2 linked regions of the Neurospora crassa OR74A genome follow. Each later gene encodes a partner of the first gene's protein in a complex. Links are inferred from orthologs where the notes say so. Each region holds a gene or a part of one and is shown in the gene's direction. Other genes may lie near its edges.

Region 1 (8,066 bases):
CGCTAAAGCCGTTTCTTCATAACGACCACACAGTAACTGACATACATCTTCTCTCCTTGTATCATTCACACCATGCACCGAGCTTGATTGTGCGCAGAATCCGATATCTGGAGAGAGCAGCAGCAATAGAACAGTAATGATAAATTCCGTGCCGAACCGTGGGGGGGGGTAAACAATGAGAAACCGCAACCTAACCATACCTTTGAGGCCCTCTGCACGGAGGAACATGAAATAAAGAGATACCTCTACGCCTCTCTCCCTGATTTCCCTTGACACCTGGCGCCACCGCAAAGAAAAGTTTGAGCGTGTAAATAAGGAGCAGTGCAAAACAAAAACCTGCCATGCCGGAAAGATGAAGGAAAAACAAAAGCCAGCCCGTCGGCGCGGACCAGGTGATTAACCCTCGCCGTGTTTCCTAGAGCCGGTTCCCTGTGCATCAAGCAGGTAATAGGATGCTTTTTTTTTTGAGAGAGAGAATAGGAAAATTGGACGAACGCGGTCTCCATTGGGTTCAGAGACAAAAGGCATACCGTCATCTATAACTTCATGATATGTCGTCAAGCGCTAGCGAGATCCAACCGCATCGTAGCCTCTTTTGAGAACATTGTATGGGCCAGAACCCAAATGCTAGCCCGTGAACGCAGCTGCACCCAAACAAGCTTAAGGCAGCTGGTCAACGGGGCGGTCCTTGAGCTTGTCAAGTGGGATCTCGGCGTCAACAACGCCATAGAGAACAGCGTTCTTCTTGGCCCACTGCCGAGTAAGGATGGAGGCTGAGAAGATGTCAGAATAAGATTACGAGACAAGCAAGGCCGGTTGTTTGACATACCTTTGAGGAACTTCTTGCTGCCATACTTCTTGAAGAATGCTTCATGAATAACGGGACGGGCCAGATAGTCAACCATGAGATGGAATACAGGCTCGATCTCCTCCTCGGTATAGCCAGCATAGTAGGCGATAGTCTTGTCCTGTTATTATGAGTATTAGCCACAGGATGATATGGCGAGTATTATAAATCCATCTGTATAACTTACCCATTCTCCGCGGCCAAGGATCAATCGTGCCAAGTACATAGCAGCAGCAGCGACATGGCTGGGACGGTAAGGCATGAAGCGATGGTCCAGCAAGCTGATCTCCATCAGGTACTTGCCAAGGGTACGGGATTGAATATCGTAGTTGTCTGCCTTGGAGATGCGGCGGAGAAAGTTCATAGGGTTGGGGTAGCTAAGGTCGTAGTTGAGGGTCGATAGAATGAAACGCTCAGCACTGAGGATCTCAGCTTCAGTAAAGCCGTCATCTGCAACGTGGCGAAAGTTGGCAATATGGGGGGAGAGGACCTCCTCGTACTTGGAGGCAACAAACATTGCAGTGATACCCACGAGCTGAAGACGATCGAGCTGGACGACCTTTTCGCTCAAAAAACGATCGATGATGTTAACGGCAAGGAACAGCGTCTCGGGCAGCAGATGAAACCGAGTATGAACTTCAATGAGCCAGTCGATGAGAATGCCACGAGTCTTCCACTCGAGGTCGTCCTGGTGGCTCATGTACTGAGGGTTCGGCACTGATTTGCACTCGAGGTCGCGGAGGTACTCGAAAATTTCCGTCGCATACTCGGCAACCATAAGAGGATCCTCGAGGTCTTCAGTGTCAAGGTCCTTAACACCTGGCGGATACACTGACTGAACAGGGACGACATCGCGGACGACGGGAGCGGGGGGCTCGGCCATCGGCTTCACAGCCTTGGAGGGAGCATCGTTCTCCTTGGCCTCAGTCCTGGAAACCTTCTTCTTCTCGGGCTCTTCGACGTGGATCTTCTTGCGGGCCGGTTCATTTTCAACAGGTGCTGATTCCTTGATAGGGGCGAGCTTGGATGTGGACGGAGGAGGCTTGCGCTTGGCGGGAATGGTGCCAGCACCAGCACTGGGGCCGACCGTCTTGTTGGGCTCTTTGTTGGATAACGCACGGCGGGCAGTAGTCGCAGTACGGCTCGTAGCAGTTGTGGTCTTCTTCTGGATGCCACTCGGCTGGGCCGCCTTCGAAACTAGGCCGGGCTTCGCAATCGCTTTCTTCGTTCCCGCAACTTCAACCTTGGTGACATTGCTGACGTCGCCCAGTGCATTCCGCTTACCGACAGTGCGAGCGGCAGTGGCGGCGGTGGTTGTCGAAATCGTCGTCTTTTTGGTCTGCATGGTTTTCGCGGGCATGGACAATTCGTCGACATGGAGAGTGGCCGCCTTGGCCCTCGTCATACGTGTCGTGGTTGCTGTACTGTTCTCGTCATTTTCGTTCGCGAGTGAACGCGGGTTCCTCGTCCGCTGCAGGGTTGGGGTTGAGTTAGTACAAACATAGCATGGCTGTGGACAACCAATTGCATGATTGAACGACAATGCCAACTGTGCAGTAAAACTTACAAGATTCGGCATTCTCGCCTAAACCTATGCTGGCACAGAAATTGATGTGAAATGTGTCTACTGACGGGGAGGTCAGCTAGCTATTTGGATGTTTCGTTTTTGGCGAAGTTCGAGGTGGAGAGACTGGTTCTTATTGAAAGACCGATCCCTGTCACGGAGGGAGGGTTGACGCGAACGACGAGCGAACGACGAGGGAATTGTGAACACGGACAGTCAATGAGACTAGACGCACCGACTACAGAGCCCAAAGATGTCGGGAAGAATGAACACCGGCGGTCGGCAGTGATGTCGCTGTCGGCACGTTGTTGAAGCCGGAGATCAACCCTGGGTCCCGCAACAGAAGGTTGGCTGAGACCGTGAAGGATGTGCTGTTGTTGATCGGGAATGTTGCCCAATTGGTGACGACGGTCGGGGCAAAGCACGCAATGGCGACGTCCGGAAAGATTGACTGATCGAGGCCAAGGGTTGCCGTCGTGATGGCAAGGCCTTGCGAGTCCAGGTGATGCGGAGTGGGAATGCTAGTTGGCGGACGGGAAAGGGAGGTATGATGTTTACGAGGCAGAGAAGAATGGGAGTCTTGTTTTTGCGAGGTCTTGGTGGAGGTGCCAGTGCCAGTGCAGCCCAGTGGATGGGGCTGGAGTGCCAGTGGACGGAGCGGGCGTGTGGACACCCACCCAGGTACCGGATCGGACGTGCTGGGACTGGGGCAAAGTACCTCTAGTGCCCTTCGAGGTCACTAGTGCAGCGAGGCTTTGAAGCTTTGAAGTCCAAGACACCGGAAAGGGAACAAAATTACCACAACAAGTGATGACGCGCCGTGCAATATGGGCTTCTGTCAGACGCACGTCTTGCTGTTCCCTGCCTTGCTAAGTTGTCGAATGATGAGGATGCCGTTGTCGAATAAGCAAGTCGAAAAGGTTGTACTGCCGAAGAAATGCAGGCTTCAATGGCCGGAGTCGAAAGTTGCTGTTGTTGCTGTAGCTGAAAGTCGATTGTCGTGCGTCCAGGGAAATGGTTGTTAGTCGGATGGTGAGTGTCGAGTTGCAGAATCCGGAGTCGAGAAAGCGGCCAGGAAATTGTACTTGGGCCGGGCGCTGTTATGGAGCACTGCAAGCAGAAGGGACAAAGAAGGGTCGCACCTCAAACACGCAGTGAAGGAACTGAAGGCGGCAAGGCCACCACAGGCCACGTCCCTCCCTTGCTGTCATCCGCCCGCCGTCAGGGCAACACTGGCAACCGCAGGGCAATTCGGTCAAATCAGCTTCTGATTGGTTTAAACTGTCCAACAGGCTGCGCGTGTCCAGCAGCTGTCAACACTAAGGTACCTTACCTATCCTGGGTCAGACGCGACTGGAACCTTGGGCGGGCAGGAATGGAGCACGATGCACGCTCTTTCCCCGCGCCGCACTGCACCTTCACGCGGTGATGACTTGGTGCCTTCCTCCCGCGCCCGCGTTTTGGAGCGCTGTTTGCAGCACTTGTCCCCTGGAAAGAAACAAGGCTCTTCACCAAAGGGCAGTGGCTGCACCACACAAGCCACACTATTAGCAGCCACAATCGTCAGGGATCGCAAACCAATGCACGGCTGTGATTGGCGCATCAGCCGAGCAATTTTCCACAAGCAGTTATCGACGACAAGCCGGCGACGAGAACCTCGACGAGCAGCCTGCGAGGACGTCGCATTCCGGTTGCTGGAAATCGCAGCAACTGTCCCCTCCAGCACCCTCACCTCCCCAGAGCTCACCGCCAGGAGCTTGGGATATCCGACAGCGATCGAGCAGCCATGCTGCAGCCTCAATTCCGACCCCTCCTTGCGGGGACAGCTTCCTTTGCCCAAACCGTGCTGGGCCGCACCGTCGCCAGATGCTATGCCACCAAGGCCGCCACACAATCAGCAAGCAGCACCAGCACCAGCAACACCAGCAAAGATGCCAAAGCCAAGATCGTCACTCCCTACGTCCGGGACGCCGGCATGATGAGAACCTACAAGCCGCACACGCCCGGTATCCGTCACTTGAAGCGCCCGATCAACGACCACCTGTGGAAGGGCCGGCCGTATCTTCCTCTTACCTTTCCCAAGAAGGGTCAATCTAAGGGTGGCCGTAATCACAGTGGTCGCGTCACCGTCAGACATCGCGGTGGTGGTCACAAGCGAAGAATCCGCATGGTCGACTTTGAACGATGGATCCCCGGTCCGCACACAGTCCTGCGCATTGAGTACGATCCCGGTCGCAGCGCGCACATTGCGCTGGTGAAGGAAGAGGCCACAGGGAGGAAGAGCTATATTGTTGCGGCGGATGGTATGAGGGCTGGAGACGTTGTGCAGAGCTACCGGTCCGGTCTTCCCCAGGACCTGCTCGATTCTATGGGTGGTGTCGTTGATCCTGGTATTCTGGCTGCGAGGACATGCTGGAGAGGCAACTGCTTGCCTGTGTCCATGATTCCGGTTGGAACCCAGATCTATTGCGTTGGCTCCCGTCCGGATGGCAAGGCTGTTTTCTGCCGCAGTGCCGGAACATATGCAACCATTATTTCCAAAGAGGAGGAGACCCGTGAGGATGGTACAAAGGTTATGACGGGCAAGTTCGTCAACGTAAGACTGCAGAGCGGAGAAATCAGAAGGGTCAGCAAGGACGCTTGCGCCACCGTTGGTATTGCCAGCAACATTATGCATCACTACAGACAACTGGGCAAGGCCGGTAGAAGCCGTTGGCTCAACATTAGGCCTACTGTGAGAGGTTTGGCGATGAACGCAAGTGAGTAGACTCCCAGAACAATCCGTTTGTCAAGCGAGCAAAACCAACTAACGGCCTGGTAGATGACCATCCTCACGGTGGTGGTCGTGGTAAGTCGAAGGGTAATAGGCACCCTGTTTCTCCTTGGGGTACACCTGTAAGTCATGCCCCTTTATTTCCTTCCTTCCTCTGAACAGACGCCTTACCCTCTTTTTCTGTAGGCCAAAGGTGGTTACAAGACTCGCAGAAAGTCCAACGTCAACAAGTGGGTGGTTACCCCCCGGGTCCGCAACATGGGAGTCCGGAGGAACAAGAAGACTACATGAATAAAATAACCCACTGTGCTCAACTTGGGCTATATACCCACCATCTTGTACAATATGTAGTGAAACTTATTCATTTGCTCGCAGGCCGGCAGTTCGAGGGCTCAGTATATCACCGGAAGGATGCCATGTGTGGGTATTGGGCCCAATAACATCGTCTGTTGGAGATCTGCCGTGTTTGTCTTTGTTTTCCACTTTCAACTGAGCAACTCTACGGCGATGTGGTTCAGGGCCCGGCCAAGGCCGTGACTGTGCCTATAAATCGGCATACGACTTCAGGAATGTACCAAAGACTACACATGGGGTTTGTTAGACTCCGTTGTCATATACCGACCCCAACTTAACAAATTTTTTATTGATTTATTTACTTATAAAATTTGTTTAATTTTCCTAAAAAAATTAAAAAATTTTTTTTTCCCTTTTTTTTTTTTTTTTTTTTTTTTTTTTTTTTTTTTTTTTTTTTTTTTTTGCGTTGATTATAGACAACAGACTACAATGAAAGAAACTGAAGGCGTTTGGTCATTGGAGTCGGTCGAGTTGTCCAATCACATTTTGCGTTCATCTCTTCTGCAAGGAGCAGAATAACAATGCCGTCCCCCTTCGCCCTTTCAGATCTGCTACCGGTTCTGTGAACGCCATCCTGAAAAAAAAAAAAAAATAGGGGCGTAAATAGCCGCGTGGGTAGACCTGAGCGCAGCGAGATTTATATGCATTCCAGCGGTGGTATCTTTACAGTGGTTGACTGTGTAAGGGCATATCACGACAGCGTCTCGGTATGCGCCCGCAATTCGGCCATACATACAACGCCATGAAGGAACGAGGGTCGACAAAAGGCAAGCATAGTCTCATCTCCATAGAGGTATACCACAAGATCAACGGGGGTGATGAGTACACTATTTGAAGCGTCTCTTCGGTGGTTTGGGCAGAGTTTAAGGTTTACGCCATTCTTTTAGTGTACATACTATTTCACAACGTTTCGCTCGTTCAGGGCAGTCCCCTTTGTACTTCTGGAGATTGAATGGGATCGATGGAATCGGTAGTTGTACATTAACTAGTAAGGAAAACTGAGTGCGCCACCATGTCTGGTACCTCACGACCCCGACAGGTCGGCACAATAAATATATACCTAGGTACCTAGGGTACATCGTACTTCTCTGCGGTGCTTCTCACCCTACACTAAATGAGTTAAGATGCACTAACATGGAAAAGCTGGGGAGTAGGTAGGTACCTATGGTTGCCCCCATACATACCTCATCCATGTCGGGTAGCGTTAGAGGTACGCGGGACTGGGGTTCCACTTGGCTAGGGGCCACTGCCTAAACCACCCCCCTGAATGATCTAGATTTCCAGGTTGTTACAAGATCGTTGGTTTCGGTTGTAACCTCAACCGGCATGCCACCGAGGAAGCTGCCATTCTCTTGTTTCCCATCCGCTCTTGACCGAATAACTCGTTCACCCTCGATAATCTCGTTTTCACATTGGTTTTCTTCTCTTCGCTTCATTTAAACTTGGTTATAACTGTTCTCATTCTTTCTGAGCCGCCGTTACGGGACTCACTGCATCGCCGCTGGGAGTACTTATTGTCGACCTGTCAACTGACTTCAAGCAGATGGGAGGAGTGCGGACTGCGGGGACCAAGCAAAAATGTATGTAGTGTACCTAGTGCAGAAACAGGCATGGGGAATCTATGTTAGCGTTACACGTGCGGTCTTAGAAAGAGGCTTAGACGTCTTGGGTAGGAAATCGTGGACGCTGATCGCTGGGTGAAACTCATTTTCTGTCAGACCGACAGGTTCGATACAAGAATGAACTGTTCAACCTCTGCCGTGCTCTGCACACTCATTACATGCACGCGCCAGGTCTCCGGCTTCACGTACATACTGCGTACTCCCGTCACGACATCTTTGTGCTAGTCCGGCTAGGTTGTAGGCTAGGTACTAGTACTTAGTTTCCCCAAAATATCATCTCGGTTCCCAACCACTGCAGCCCATAGGTTTGTATTAGCCTGGTCACACCTCTTGTCGCTTCACCCTTACATTCAGCTGCGGCTTGCGCCTATTGAAACATCCTCCTATTACCTACCCACGCTACTCTTTCCGGCTGGCAAACGCGACCAGGCGGACTGCTAAACGGACTGGACGCAATCTGACCCAAACTTGCGCTTCCGATCTCTCATCTTGCCGTCCCTTTTTTGCTCGAGGTTCTCTCTCCCATCCGACCACCCCTCGGATTCTCCTTAGGTCCTCATGCCCGACGATTCAGAAGACCTCCTCATCCCTCCAGCACATGCTCGCTCGATTTCACCATCGCATACCGGCTATACACCACCAACTTCGACGACGCTGATGATGGACAATCTCAGGCACACCCGAGCTGGTGGGCTAAAGAGGAAGAGAGGAGGATGGGTGGTGGTAGTCTCGTATGTCTTTGACTGGGTCATTATTGCTGTTGCCGGAGTCATTGGCTATATTTTTGGGGCTAAAACCCCAAACAAGAGACCTTTCTCACTTTACGATCCCAATATCTCGTATGTGAAATCAAACAGTTTTTCCTGACAGTTTCTGCTTGATCCATTCAATGGATGTGATGCTAAG
Region 2 (3,554 bases), on another chromosome or scaffold:
CTTTCCCGCTCGCAAAGAAACCCATTTATCAGCCCCAAGACAGAAAGCAAATATTGAGAGACCACATTTTTGAGGCCCTGAGAGGCTGTCCAATTGACATGAAGAGCAAAAAGCTCGGTCGCCCAGGTAAGTTTGTAGAACGAACGACAATACCCCAACTGCAGACCTACGAAAAAGCCACACATTTTCATCAACGGGAACCACTGTGCCAAAAGATCACAGAGTTCCGTTATGCCAGAGAGATCAGTTAGGGAACCCGACCTTATATAATACCTGTAGGCTACAGCAGAGGGTACTAGAGGTTTGCGGCCTGGGCGGGAAGGGATCTTGTCATCCGATGTTCCCGTCGGTGAAGGGCGTGCCGACCGATTGCCGGTGGCAGGAGCGGTGGCAGGTACCTGGCGCGTGGTTTGGGCTTGGGACTGACATTCCATGCTTGAAATTCAGACAGACTTGAGTGAAAAGCCATTTCGGAGCGGCGCTTCTCTGCTTGACTTGGAAAGTTCCATCACGATCGGTTATGTTTATCCCGCGAAATGACTGCACGCTGTCCCTTGCTCTGTTCTGCAGTAAACGTTATCCGACAGCAAAGAAGGCTTAACAATTACATTCTTTCTATCAGCCATACAAACACCTTCAGTAAATCAAAGTAACATTCAGGCAATTCCAGCGTGTATGTCACTCATGCCATTCTCAACACTCCCGAACCCCACCAGCTCGATTGGCTCATGGCTGACACAGAACCCCCTTCGACACGCCCTACTTCAGGACTTCTGTGTAATTCTAGCGTAGGTCGCAGTTGAGACCCATCTATAATAGGTTTCTAGTATGAGCTGCTCTTGGCTGCCTGTTTTGCGTTGCTCTCAAAGGCAATACTTTAAGCATCCCACAGTTGTACTTGCACAATATTTTCTCAACGCACCTCCAATGGCCTCGGGACACTCAATTTATGATCATTCCGACTGGGTGGAAAAATTCCCTAAACTCGCACCAGATGTTCTTCAGCCTGTTAAGCCGCGGTACAATCACTCTTAGGGACTTTCACCGCACTGAACCTTTGACATGTTCTTGCATATCCCGTGTAAGTGATATCGAACATGGATATTTTGGAGCATCACGGTCCCTTGGCGAAGGACGTCGGATGTGGACCAGCTGCTGACTCAGCCGCCCATTCGCAATTGACCGAGACCAACGAGGGCGCACGGTCCACCCCCGCGACGCAGGTGTCGGAATTTGGCTGGGCGCGGGTCCTGAACTTTTGTTTTCGGGGAAGTGCCGTTGCCGTGAGGAACGGAATCCGGAAGACTGCCCGACCCAGACCCAACCCACTCCCGTGTCCTCCGCCTCCGTCATGCCTCCCAGGTTACCGCTCGCCCAGGCGGCGCGATGCTGCCAGGCCTCCCTCACAGCCCGCCCTTCGGTCCCAGCCTCGTCGCCGACGTCGTCCCTCATTTCGCTCTTTGCTGCCCTCTCCGTCCAGACCAGGAGCGCATCCATCCTCGCCAGCCTGTCCGACAACCGGGGCGCCTACCACAAGCGCATTCGCAAGGGTCGCGGTCCTTCGTCCGGCTATGGCAAGACTGCCGGTCGCGGTACCAAGGGTCAGAAGGCCCACGGTCATGTTAAGCCATGGTTCCAGGGTGGTCAGACGCCCTTGATCGTCTCTCACGGCCGCAAGGGTTTCGTTAACCAGTATGCCGTCCCGACTTCCCTACCTCGCTTGCTATGCGCCATGGCCAAGAACTCTCCAGCATGCTATCCGATAACCTATACCTACCAGATACATGATGGAGACTAACCATTTGTGTCTTTCATAGGTTCGCTGCCGACATGTCCGAGCTTAACCTCGAAAAGCTTCAGGAATGGATCGAAGCCGGCCGTATCGACCCCACGAAGCCCATTACCCCCAAGGAGATCATCAAGTCCGGCATCATTGGCAGCAGCATCAAGGACGGCATCAAGCTTCTCGGCCGCGGCAAGGAGAGCTTCAAGATCCCCGTCACCATCACCGTATCGCGCGCGTCCGCCTCCGCCATTGAGGCCATCGAGGCTGCCGGCGGCAAGATCGTCACCCGATTCTACACCAAGGAATCGCTCAAGCGTCTGGTAGAGGGCAAGTCTCTTCATACCGACAAGCCGCTGCCGGTGGGCAAGGAGCACGTGGAGGAGATCCTGGCGCAGGCGCGATCGCTCAAGAAGAAGTACTACCGCCTGCCGGACCCGACCAGCCGTTGGGATATTGAGTACTACAGAGACCCGGCGCATAGGGGCTACCTCAGCCACCAGCTTGCGCCTGGCGAGTCGCCCAGTTTGTACTTCAAGGTACCGACGGGCGGCGAGAAGGTCAAGGTGGTCAGGGCCGACAAGGTCAAGGCCAGCAAGACCGGGGATGTGGCGTCGGAGAAGCTCTTCTAATGAACACGAACATTGCCTGGGATGGCGGTTTTTCCGAGACTCGTTGTTGCGCTCTTCCTCGTTGTTGTATGATAGGTACTGGGCCCGTTCATGGCTCTGTGCTTTGTGTTGTATTATTATCATCCGCGTATTGTCAGTCCAGCGTCTTGCTCCTCGGATCAGTTCTATTTGGGTCCTTGTACATCATACAGGTCTCACCTACGGGAGTGGATTCCCACATGCGGCCAGCACTCCACTTGCTGACAACGCAGGTGAATCATGAAACTCCCTTGATTGACGTGTTCCTGCTTTTGCGATCCATCGTAGTTCGAAGATGGGCTTTATAAAGTAAATATCACTTGGCTGCGTGTTGACATGGTCCAAACGACGGATCTCGAAGACTTGCTGTCCCGTACCTGGCAGTCGGAAGAACAGCCATTGGCCAGTGACATGTCAATCCCGCAAGCTGACCCCGGTCAAGTCCCGGTCCTGGGCGGTCCCCGGCCATTCCTTCCAGGGCAGCTTCCACGGGGACGGTGAATGGGGGCATTAGAAAATATGGGTCTGATCACGTGCCAGGTCGCTTTTGGTACCTTCTCCATACCAGCTTGTAATTACGTCCGAAAACAGCCGTCAATACCCGACTTCTCTGCAAATTACCAATTAGTGTTAGGGTTAGTTAGGGTTAGTTAGGGTTAGTTAGGGTTAGGGTTAGCTCCGGGGGTGCAGGGGGCCGGTGAGAGGCCCCCGCATGTGAATGTGAATCGTTAATATTGACATATGTCAACCATATGCCGACCATATGTCTTGTAATTACGGTAATTACACGGGTGACTTTCGATACCTTCGGCTTAAAGAAAGTGGAGTATGCACGGACCAGTCTAATGCCCCTAATCACCATGCCCAGCTTCCACAGCGGGAACCGTCCACTGAAGCCACTGTATGCAGCCCTCCCGAACGGGATTGTGTCAGCTTTGGAGTCGGCGCGTGCCCTCCACCCACTCTGCCCGCCGCGGCGTCATCATTGATGCATCTTGACTTTTCTTTCCTCGAGCGGGAGAGACCAAACTTTGTCGTTGTCAACATCACGACCTGCTTCAACTTTTTTCTTCATTTCTGTGTTTCATTTTCTTCTTTTTCTTCTTCTTCTTCTTCTGGCT

The links. Proteins that work in one complex are often made in the same cells at the same time.
Region 2: NCU02757 (region 1) and NCU05714 share a complex: the UniProt entries of both Schizosaccharomyces pombe proteins name them as parts of the mitochondrial large ribosomal subunit. The link is inferred for Neurospora crassa OR74A from reciprocal best matches to the Schizosaccharomyces pombe genes rml2 and mrpl10.

Annotation. Positions count from the first base shown.
Region 1 is NC_026501.1:3,453,695-3,461,760, reverse strand, and holds NCU02757 (mitochondrial 54S ribosomal protein RML2), read left to right. Parts: upstream 1-3,813; 5' UTR 3,814-4,197; coding exon 4,198-5,170; intron 5,171-5,232; coding exon 5,233-5,306; intron 5,307-5,370; coding exon 5,371-5,475; 3' UTR 5,476-5,844; downstream 5,845-8,066. Other genes in the region: NCU16375 (hypothetical protein), read right to left, coding at 1-228; NCU02758 (G2/mitotic-specific cyclin-B), read right to left, coding at 661-773, 830-968, 1,035-2,318, 2,415-2,426; NCU02755 (PAP2 domain-containing protein), read left to right, coding at 7,719-7,999. UniProt on the Schizosaccharomyces pombe protein: Component of the mitochondrial ribosome (mitoribosome), a dedicated translation machinery responsible for the synthesis of mitochondrial genome-encoded proteins, including at least some of the essential transmembrane subunits of the mitochondrial respiratory chain.
Region 2 is NC_026503.1:604,512-608,065, forward strand, and holds NCU05714 (mitochondrial 54S ribosomal protein YmL10/YmL18), read left to right. Parts: upstream 1-1,226; 5' UTR 1,227-1,351; coding exon 1,352-1,692; intron 1,693-1,817; coding exon 1,818-2,415; 3' UTR 2,416-3,054; downstream 3,055-3,554. UniProt on the Schizosaccharomyces pombe protein: Component of the mitochondrial ribosome (mitoribosome), a dedicated translation machinery responsible for the synthesis of mitochondrial genome-encoded proteins, including at least some of the essential transmembrane subunits of the mitochondrial respiratory chain.